Linked DNA regions of Caenorhabditis elegans. Changing the gene in region 1 together with any one later gene gives a genetic interaction. Each region holds a gene or a part of one and is shown in the gene's direction. Other genes may lie near its edges.

Region 1 (3,594 bases):
TGAAATTTCCGGCAAATCAGCAAATTGCCGGAGTTCAAAATTTCCGGAAAATCGGCAAATTGCCGGTATTAAAATTTCTGGCAAATCGGCGAACTGCCGGAAAAACGACAGGTGCCGAAAATTTTCGGCAAAATGTGGTTTTGCACCTTTTTTTGGAAATTTCAGAATTTCAATTTAAATCGGCAAAATTGTACGCACCCTATGAATGTTCCTACGTCTATTTTGAAAAATAAGCAACTTCTATGAAAATTTCTTTAAAAAGCGGGATATAAATTCCAAAAAGGCAGTTTTAAGTGGTTCCGTCTTATAAAAAGTGCCTCTACACATTTCCGGCAAATCGGCAAACCGGCAATTTGGCGATTTGCCGAACAGCACTTGCCGCCCACCCAATTCCCGGTATAAAAATGTAGATTGTTTAATATTTTCCCCCGGCCAAAATTCACATTAAATGCGACGAAATGCAATTTTTTTTTCCTCAAAACTGTAGCAGAAAATGGAGAATTCTCTCCGGAAAGCAGAAAAAACGTTATGAAGTGATTCACATGACTGGCAAACATAACATAAACGGAAAAGAGCGGAAAAACAATCGATATTCTTCGGAACGACGGGAGAAGCAGTGAAGAGAGTGAAGAGACGGAGAGAAGACAGTTCCCATTCGTTGTGTATTTATACGGAGACAGTTCCTTTCGAATGTGTGTGAAAGGACATTGGAATGAGGAGGTATATATGATGACTTGCCGATAAACAAGATATTCCGACGGAATACGGAATACGATTTAATTTCTGGGAGGTTTTGGGAACGGAATTTGGGGTCTAAACACTATGAAATACCGAAAAAATGGTTTTTTAAATTTGAAAGTACGCCAGTTTTTGCCCTAAATGACAGAAAAAATCCTCACTATACAGGACATTACTGCTGAAAAATTAATAAAGATTTCCTGAATTTTGTTTGATTTTTTAATTTTTCCAACAAAAAACCGAATAATTTTTGAATTCCCGCGCAAATAAATGTTTTCTAGATCGGTTTTTCTAGATTTTTCATTATTATTTGATTTAAAACATGATTTTTCGAATTTTAAAGAGTTTTTCCGTTTAAAAAACGCTATGACCTCGAAATAAATACACTGAAGCTTCAAAAATTCCGAAAAATGCCAGAAAACAAGTTTTCTAGACGAAAAAACTTCTGAAAAACTGAAAATTAATGAAAAATCGAGAAAAACCAACGATTTTAGCCAGAAACACGAAATTCGAAAATTCAAAAGTATAAAAATATTCCTTAAAATCGATAATCTCCTAGTTTAATCAATAATCTTCAAAAAATTCTAAACATAAATTTCGCAATGCTGCTTTTTCAAATGACTCATGACTCATCGCGCCAGCTGCGCAGCTCTATTCCATGTTTTTACAACAAAAAATCGATTTTTCTGGCAATTTTCAGTTTTATTATATAATTTTAAGCCCAATAGTCAATAATTTCAAAGAAAACGCACTTTAAAATCATTTTAAACAAGAAAAAATCGATTTAAAATGAGAAAATATGGCTGAAAAACGTTTGAACACAATTCCAAAGCGCGCCAAGTTAAAGGCGCATGCCATTTTGCGGCGAAGATATCTTGCCACGAAAGGCTCTATTTGAATTATTTTCGTCGGCTTTTCGCATATTCTCTCGCTTTTTCTTCGGTTCTGCACGCTTCCACTGATTTTTTCGAGGTTTTTCATTGAAATTATTGATTTTTGACAACTAAATTAGCCTAAAATCAATTAGAAACGCTTTATAACCTGATAATCTTGATTTTTAGCTCGATAAAAACTTGCATCATTTTTGGAAAATGTAATTTTCTATTTTTTTCTTCTTTCAGGTAAAATGAACACTGCTTCCCTTGTTCGCTCCCTGTCCCGAGTGGCTCTCCGTTCATCCCAGGTCGTCAGAATGGCCGCTCCACGCCATTTCTCACAATCGGCCAAGGTTCTGTCAGTAACGCCAGAACTTCAACAGGCCCTGAACCGTGAGATCGAAGCCGAGCAACAGCTGAGCAGCGACAATCTTCAAGGAGCCGTTGCGCCGACATTTGCTGGCTTCCAAGTCACCAATAAGGACGCCGAAGTTAGGCTGACCAAGAAGAATGGAAGCGAAGAGTTCGTTTTTTTCAGAATTTTTCATAGTTCTAAAGTTAATTTTTTTAAAGCATTCTCGTCGTCTTCAATGTGAACCACTCTGTCGATATGGACGAAGGATTCGACGATGAGCCATCCCAGGCCGTCGCTCCAGTTCCAGTAGCCATGCCACCATTCACCGTCGAGATTACCAAGGGAGATCAGAGACTTTGCTTCCATCTCGAGCTTGTGCCAGTTGACGATCAACCTGATGAGTGTAATACTCGATTTTATCGAAAACTCGAATAAAATATATACTATTTATAGATGATTTCCGCGTCGAAGAGTTCTACGTCGCCCCATCTGCCAAGAATGGAAACGAGGACGTACCATCCGAGGTGTACGCTAGCAGTGGAAAATATATCGATCCAGTTAGTAGTCCCAAGAGGACCGCAAATTATTGATTTTTTCTAATTCCAGGACCTCCACGATCTCCTGTTCGTTCGTTATTTGGAAGAACGCGGTCTCGATGCTCGGTTCTGCAAGACTCTCGTCGCCTATGCCACTCACTACGAGCACTCTCAATACGTTGGACTTCTCGACAAGATCAAGAAGTTCATCTCCAAATAGATTGCTTTCTGAAATTTTTTCAATTGTTTTGTTTTTTCTGTCTTTTATAACTTTACTGTTGACGTTTTTAGGTAATCTAAATAAGTAGCACATTTTCTTTCAGCTCGTTTATTTTCCTTAGTTTTTTGTTCTGTTTTGAGGTTTCTCTCCTCCAAAAATAATAAACCCATTGTTTTTTTCTTCTTTTGTAGTTTTCCGCATCCCAAATTTTTTGTAAATTAACTATGTCTTTGCTTTATCTAATTCCGCGTTTTTTCCTGAAAATTAAAAAATCAATAAAGCCTCATTTTCAGATTCCAAAGAAATGAGCGAGGAGAATGTTCAAGAGTTCGTTTTGAAAGAGGACTGTGAGCTGAGATTTGCCGCCGGAGACGATTCGGATGTCTGTCTGGAGCTCGTCAAGGGATACGCTGAAATTTTTGGCACAGAACTGCTGTTAAATAAGAAATATACATTTCCAGCCAGTAAGTTTTCCTCGAAATCTGGATTTTTTTTCAACTTTTCAAAAACTCCCGTTTTCTGGCTATATTTATTGCTCTTTCTCCGTTTTTTTTCTGTAATATTTCGCTTGAAACACTGTTTTCCTAATGTTTCCGCAGAAAAAGCACAAATTTCTGTGAAATTATCGACTTTTAGGTCAATTTCCAAGTTTTAGCGTGTTTCTTTGCGGTTAAAGTAGAGAAATTCGCTGAAACTTCATCTTGAAACTTGGCCTAAAAATCGATAATTTCAGATGTAATCATTTGTTTTATGCGGAAAAGTCTGGAAAACAGTGTTTTAAATCAAATATCACAGAAAAAAATTGAGAAACACCAATGGATTTGGCCATAAAAGTCAATTTCGGCCCATTTTCTGCCATTTAAAACCCAA
Region 2 (7,632 bases), on another chromosome or scaffold:
ATTTGGATTTTAAGGTGAGATGTTTCATCCAATCATCTATGAATCATTCTTACTGAAGCTATGTAATTTCAAGTCGTACGACGTACGCCAAATATTATATGTTTTTATGTGTTTTTACAAATGGTAATTTAATCGAAACGTAAATTATTAATAGGCCTTTAAAATCACCAGAAAGCTCAAAATTGTAAAATAAAGAGGTTACGTAAAATGTAAATAGGCCCAATCTATCCCAATCTTCCACACTAGTTTAAAACATTTTGGGTTAAAGATGGAAAAATTTGAACTTGGGTAAGACTTGAATGCGATTATATGATATTTCACCAAGAAAATTGTCACCAATTTATTTTTTTGGAAGCCGGCCTGGATGTTTCAGTTTTGAGGTGCTAATCAAATTGTCATATTTCAGCTCCTTGAAACAAAAATCAACGATGTCGACCAAGATTCATTTTCCGACTTGGGATTATTTGGTGCTGAATTTTTAGAGAAGCTTCTCACTGAAATTCTTCAAATGGGAATTGCTCTGCCAACCATGCAAGGTGTAATTCTGAAGAGTCCAAAGTGAGTTTGAAACGAGCTCTATAATATGAATTTATTATAATTTCAGATTAACTTTCCACGATCGTTATCTGAAAGTTTCAACATATTTCAAACTTGACGAGGAATACGCAGGAAGTCTTGTCAGAGGAGCTGTTGGAAAAACGTTACGTGGACCATTGTGATGAATGACAAAGTTACCAAAAAACAGAAATATCGATATTTAGTTACCGGTTTATATGTACATTTCGAGAAAAGAATACTGATGAATATATAATAAATAAGTTATTATCTGCGAAACTGTTTGAAGAAATAAGGACAGTTTTCATCTCCGTAATTTGCAAAACTGCAAATAAAATTAAATATTTGCAAGGGACCAAAAATTGTTTTTTCTGTCGAATGTATAATATGAGAGTTTCGATTGAACGTGTCAAGTCTTTCATAGAGATTCTATTCAACAATTCAAACAATACTTTCAATCGAACAGGTATCATTTCATTCGTGATCATTCATTTCAATATCTTCTTGATCGTCAAATAAACTTATCTTTTCAACGTTTAACTTTCGTTCACATTACCAATGTACTTTTCTCATTTTTCTTTTTCTGTGGTTTTTAATCATTTCTCTACTGGCCAAGCTCCACCATTAATCTCAATCTGACAGAATATTATTTTGCTGAATTACAGGGAATCTTCAAAACTGGATCCAAATTATTTGCAATCGAGGGTTGTCCAACTATCGAATAATTTGTTATGATCAAAATTCTAGTCGTTTTTAAAGGTACAATTGGGTCTATTACTGGCTTAACAACCTGATGTGCATCGTTTAGTAATGTCAATTCGTATTTATTTGTCTCATATTGAACCCTTCCTAGTCACGCCACTTCACATAAAACCATCACCATGGAGTCATTGCGTTTCTATGTTTTTCTGCTCATTTTCTACTCTTTCTATATACTTTTGGATGTGACTTGATCATCTAAAGTCTCGCTTTTCACACAATTGTTTTTGACTTTTTCATTCAAAGTGCAAAAATTGTGTAGTAGATGTTTGATTTGTTACCTGTTATTCAAACAATCCATAAATCGGCACCCTTCCGTTTATATTTTGGAGATTTGTTGTTTCGAACACACATTTTTTTGCAGAAACATTTATAATGTCCAACGAACAAGAAGATTTTGGATCACTTTTTAACAACCAAGGAGAGTTAGGAATCATGGACGATTTTGCCGAGTTTGGGTAAGTAAGTTTTTAAACGGGTGATGCTGATAACATTTATAATCGTACTTTTTACGATGTGTCAAGATGTCTTAACCGTGCAATAACAGTTGTCTCTGCGTCTCAATTCCCGCATTTATTGTAGATCATATGGGACATGGAACAGCCTGACACCACGTGATTTTTCCGATAATAGTCACATTCAATTATGTTTACTTCTGTTTTTTAATGAAAAATAATTTGTAATTTTTCCGTGTCAAATAGTTTCCTAACTCCCGGCTGTTAACAAACTATTATAAAAGTCGCTCAAAACTTTTTTCAATGCAATTTTAGTTATGTAAACTTATAACAAAAGTAAATTAAAGGTGACTGACTATTTTTAGTCCAATATATATACCAATGTTGACAGGGTTTTACAAACTGGAAGCTATTTTTGATGATTCAAGCTTTTTATTTCAAAAATCTGTCTGACTTTTCTGGACTGCTCTACTCTATTGAAACTTTAAACTCAATTTTACAAAAAACAAGTAATTGAACTGTTTTCTCGGCTTGAAAAAAAACCTAGAATGTTCCAATTATTAGGCAACACCACTAAGTTATATCAGTAACTTCAACAAAACGTTTCAAACCAAATAAGTTTTATATTTGTCCAGCACACTATCACTTCCCCCGTAGACAGTGAGATGGAAATATATTGTTAACCTGACTGACTCGTTCCGACTTTTATAAGACAAGATGCATATTTCTCTCTCCGCCCTGTCTACGCATTTCTGTGTCTTGATCTTTTGAACCAAAAAGTTTACAACGGATGTCCTGGGGCGGAAACAATAAATACCTCTCTTTCTCGTAGTTTGCAACGTACCCGCTCTTCTTGAGTTCACCGGAATCAAAACACAATTATTGTATTTGCCCCTGTCTTTTCCTCATTTACATTTTGAAGTTTCCCCAAAAGTTCAGTATCGTGGTTTGTTACTCAATTTGCAATTCCTAGCAATTTTTAAAAAATTATGAAAGAAGTCCCCAAATATTCCAAGAAATTCAGGAAAATTTGATGAAAAATAGGGAAAAAACCACAATGTTCTCTTTTTAAATTTTTCAAAAAAAATTTTTTGTAAATAATTCGAAGTTTAGACTCCAACAGGCACAATCAAACAAACATCTAAAGCCGAAAATTATGATAATTTGTTTATCTCTACGAGCCTTTTATGAATCTGATCTCTTAACCCAATAAACGAATAATATCTTCTTGATCTATCTGACCTTTTCGTGTTACTGTTCTCGTCTCTTTTCCTGCAATCGGCAAATATTTGAGCACAGCGCAACAGATGGACCACACTTTGTAGACAGAGCCACGTTGCAGTGTTCTAGAGTCACACTATTTTAGGGGTTTTCGGTATGGATTTTTTTATCGATTTTTTTAAATTTATTAATTTTTATTCAATGAAATTTCCAATGTTGAAAAACATTAATTTGTTGGAAAGATGAAAAAATTAAAATTTCAGAGGGTAACTAAAAATATTTCGAATTTTATTTCGTAACTACCCCTCCTCGAACTATTCTTCTTCCGAACGGTAATAACGAACCTTTTGTCATCTTTCCCTAACCTTCTTTTGTTCATTTCTCTTATTCATTCAAAGTAGTCGTCATTGAAAATACAATTCAGATGACGTTCTCAACCTCGTCTTTTTTTCCATTTCCTTCTATTTATCGATCACGTGCTATCGTTCCCTATTACGCGCTCACTCCAACTTTTTTCTTCCTGTTAGGAGCAGAAGCTCACGTGTTGCCGATGCTCTGAGTATATTCGTTCTCTATTTCTCTCCGTTCTCTCTCTCTCTCTCTCTCTCTCTTCTCTCTCTTTTTCTCTCTTTTTTCCCATTTCTTTCCTCCTTTCACTTACATTTGTTGTGACAGAAAACACACACATACATACCCTAACGCTCACTCTCGCTCCTCTCCTCTCTCGTTTTTCCTATCTAGTTCTCAAAATATTTCTCACGTCTCTTCTAGTTCCAATACTATTTTTTTAACCGTCGACTTTTATAAACTGATGTCAGAAACGAGCGCAATTCCAAAAAGAAAGAGTATGACTGACGTCAACAAAGGTGAAAGTTCTTGATCTGTTTCCAATACTCATATACATATATTTATTTCAATTTTCTTCAAAAACTCTATATTTGGTTCTATTCTGCCAGATCTAGTTTTTAAAAAGGAACCATAGTTCGTTCCCGAATATGAAAAAAAGTTAAGTAGCAACATTTAATTTACCGCATCATACATTATCTAACATTAGATATATAGTTGAATACACTTTTTTCAAGAACGAGACAGCACCTGTCTGGCAACTTCACGTACACTCTTATGAGAGATAACAATCTAAGGTCGTGAGACTTGCCCTATAACAAGTCTAGTCGACTTTTTAATTTCTTCTAATACACCTGTTATGACGACACGTTGCTAGACTCTGACAATAAGGAAACTAGACCTGAAGAAAAAGTGAACATATTTTTTAAATGATTTTGTGTTTTTCACTTAGAAAATCGAATGATTTCAGTACATTTATTTTTATATTTATTTATCAAATGAATATCCCAAAACTATCTTCCTTCTATAGCATGCTGATAGAGAGCAAAAAAATTTAACTGAACCGATTTCAAAACCTCTAATACGACGTCATTATTTCTTATCTATAGGTATTCTGGCATTATTATGCACTCAATTGACTTTTTCTCTATTTTCACGTCAGCTAATTTCACCAACAACCCTCATATTCGTAATCCTTAGATAATCCCTTCCTTATAGGATCTCATTATCTCATAATTATTTCATTTTGTATTAATATCAAAGCCAACCGACTTCCTTGTTGTTTTGTGTTTTTCTTAACTCGTTTTAAATATTCGACTTTTCAGTTTTCAAACTACAACAACACCCACAAATTGGGCGGCTGCGGGGAATTATATGTACCCAGGTGAGTCAAATTGTAGACATGACAAAGTTATTGGAAAACTAGACAGAAGTGGCTATAACTGCAAAAAATATATTTATAAAACAGACGTTTTCAGTTCCTGATCTCAGAATGCCTCAAATCACATAAAATATAAATATGCTTCAATTTTTTGTTAGAAAACAATTATAAACATGAAAAATATCTTTAAAAATATTTCGTATGATTTCGATGTTTTTCAGACGATTTATTTCCGGTTTGTCATATGATTTAATATGAATCAGAAAGTTCTAAAACGAAAATTATCCAGCTTAAGTCCCTCATCATCCATATGAGTCACCGTGATCACAATCACTTGGGAAACAAGTTTCTGACTAATTTAACATTTGGAATTGAGCTTTTATTTTATTGTTCAAACTGATATACAAAAATTACAGATCAAGTTCACTTACCGGCAAGCATCAATAATCCAAACATGCCAATAAACGACTGGTTGGAAGATGCTCCAATGCCTGATTGCTATAATGTTCCGTCAACATCAACTGATGAAAATAATGATCCGTTTCCATTTTCAAATATGTACGTTTATTTGAAAGTTATACACATTCACATACCTCTTTTTTTAGCTCAAGCCAATCTTCTTTGAAACCAAAAACTCCTGAAAAGGCAGTAGTTGAAGTACGTCCTACTGGAAACGAGATGTTGGATCCTGAACCCAAATATCCAAAAGAAGAAAAACCGTGGTGTACCATATTTTACTACGAGCTGACTGTTCGAGTAAGTTCAAAATTATTTGAGAAAGAATTTCAAAAAACGGATAGCATAACAATGATATATTTTCAGCTAGGAAAAGCATTCGAAGCCAAAGTCCCAACAATTACAATCGATGGTGCAACTGGAGCAAGTGATGAGTGCCGAATGTCGCTTACATCTCAACCATCTTCGAGAAATTCAAAAAGCTCACAAATCCGAAACACAGTTGGAGCAGGAATTCAATTGGCATATGAAAATGGAGAACTTTGGCTAACTGTACTGACTGACCAAATTGTTTTTGTACAATGCCCATTCCTGAACCAGACATTGAATAAGCCACTGAAATATGTGTTTCGGTTGCAAAACAAAGGAGATCAAAAAAGAATGAAAATATTCGATAAGGAGCAGTTTGAACAGGAGAAAACATTGGCTCTCGGACCTTTAACTGAAAAAGAGGTGGCTGATGAACGAATGAGAATCTTCTCCAACATCAGAGTCTCTTTCTGTAAAGGATTCGGAGAAACGTATTCCCGTTTGAAAGTTGTGAATTTACCGTGTTGGATTGAAATTATCTTGCATGAGCCAGCTGATGAGTATGATACAGTGAGTTTTTAAACTTTAATGTAATTTTTCCTAAATTAAAAATATAATATTAAAACACAATTTCCGATAGTGCGGTCCAACTGCAGCTGAAATACCCAAGATCTCTGAAAATGTTGTACACCACTGAGCCGACTACTGAATTTTACTGGCTAGCAATTTTTGTATAGGCTTAAAGTATCTCCATTGAAGATTAAAGAATCGATTTTTTAGCCACCTGGATTCTTTCGGTGAATCAAGGCTATATTTGTTTCCGAAATAAATAGATAAATTAAAAAACTTCATGAAAGACAAATAATTAATAATTATATTCACATTTGTCTTATCCGGTTCTATTTATAAAATAATTAAACAAAATATGACTATTTCAATCATTAAAACAAAAACACAAAAAATTCAACATATGATCTAGTAATGGAATTAACTGTTAAGTGTATGGCATAGTTGAGACCATTTTGAATTTGAATTTGAATTTAAATTTAAACACTTGAAATAACACACAAAATTGTTTCAAGTAATTAAAGTTCCATTAATAATCTTCAGGTTTTCCGTATTAATAACGAACGGCCGGAAATAGGATCCCGATCATGATTGCTTCAATATTTTCACTTCAATGATTGGTTCTAAGCATTCGAATGCGTACCCGTTTGATTAATATTTCCATTTCTGTCCCAGTTTTTAATTTTCATTTCTTTTGGTTAAAAAATTCCCAGTCTCTTGAATGCTTTTCTAAAATCTTTAATTCAATTATTTATTAGAATCTTCTGTTTTGAGAACTTTGTAATGTAATTAAATAATTTGATGAAATGATTATGAATGCGAATAAATTATTAAAATAATATTAATAATACATTTTTGGTGGAAAGGAGAGGAACCTGAAACAATAAATTAGAAATCTGACGACAAAAGTGTCAATTGTGGAAATAAATAAAATGAGATGATCCCGTATGGGTTGGAAATGTCTTTAAATGTAGGATGAGCACAAAACTAAAAGAGCAAAGAAAACAGAGAACATTTTGAGAAAAATTAAGTCATAGTTTAGAAGAATTTCTTGCTTTTACAAGAATCAATAAAATGGAATATGAGTTCACAGCTGGCGTTTGGAGCATACATCTGCAAATAAGGAAAATTAACATGATTGTGAAAAAGTGATTTGATTAAATGTGTCTCTGTTGTAACACCAACAACAGGAATTCACAAAAGAGCACCAAAAATACGTAACAGATAGGCACGTAGTCACTCCTAAATGCCTACCTGTAGTGGCAGCCTTGATTTCTATATTTTAAAATTTACCTGCAGGAAGGGACAGTTGCCTCTCGCCCATTTCGAGACATCTTTGATACTAAAACTCTTGGCCAGTTTTGTTATTTTTGCACAACTCTCTGCGGTAGCTTCCTGCATTTCTTGAGGATTCGATTGTAGAATTGGCTTCAACTTAAGAATATCATGACCCACTTGTTGTTGAACAGGTTGTATTGGTTGGGAAGGTGGTAAAGCCATTCCTGGTGGAGCCAATGGCATTGGCATCGGAGCACCCGGAGGAAGCGGGATTCTCATTGGTTGTGGGGCACCGGGCAATGGAAC

The links.
Region 2: of cri-3 (region 1) and daf-14, changing one enhances a phenotype caused by changing the other (phenotypic enhancement), as found in Caenorhabditis elegans (one study listed by BioGRID).

What each region holds. Positions count from the first base shown.
Region 1 is NC_003281.10:3,394,726-3,398,319, forward strand, and holds cri-3 (Conserved regulator of innate immunity protein 3), read left to right. Parts: upstream 1-1,859; 5' UTR 1,860-1,864; coding exon 1,865-2,136; intron 2,137-2,186; coding exon 2,187-2,371; intron 2,372-2,421; coding exon 2,422-2,525; intron 2,526-2,574; coding exon 2,575-2,724; 3' UTR 2,725-2,902; downstream 2,903-3,594. Other genes in the region: Protein clpf-1, read left to right, coding at 3,029-3,188.
Region 2 is NC_003282.8:10,248,957-10,256,588, forward strand, and holds daf-14 (Smad-related protein daf-14), read left to right. Parts: upstream 1-1,670; 5' UTR 1,671-1,689; coding exon 1,690-1,772; intron 1,773-4,660; coding exon 4,661-4,719; intron 4,720-5,132; coding exon 5,133-5,274; intron 5,275-5,321; coding exon 5,322-5,472; intron 5,473-5,538; coding exon 5,539-6,051; intron 6,052-6,591; coding exon 6,592-6,639; 3' UTR 6,640-6,896; downstream 6,897-7,632. Other genes in the region: F01G10.10 (BPI2 domain-containing protein), read left to right, coding at 1-14, 407-558, 605-719; F01G10.9 (aECM cysteine-cradle domain-containing protein), read right to left, coding at 7,087-7,161, 7,342-7,632. UniProt on the Caenorhabditis elegans protein: Probably an atypical receptor-regulated SMAD (R-SMAD) that is an intracellular signal transducer and transcriptional modulator activated by TGF-beta-like daf-7 signaling.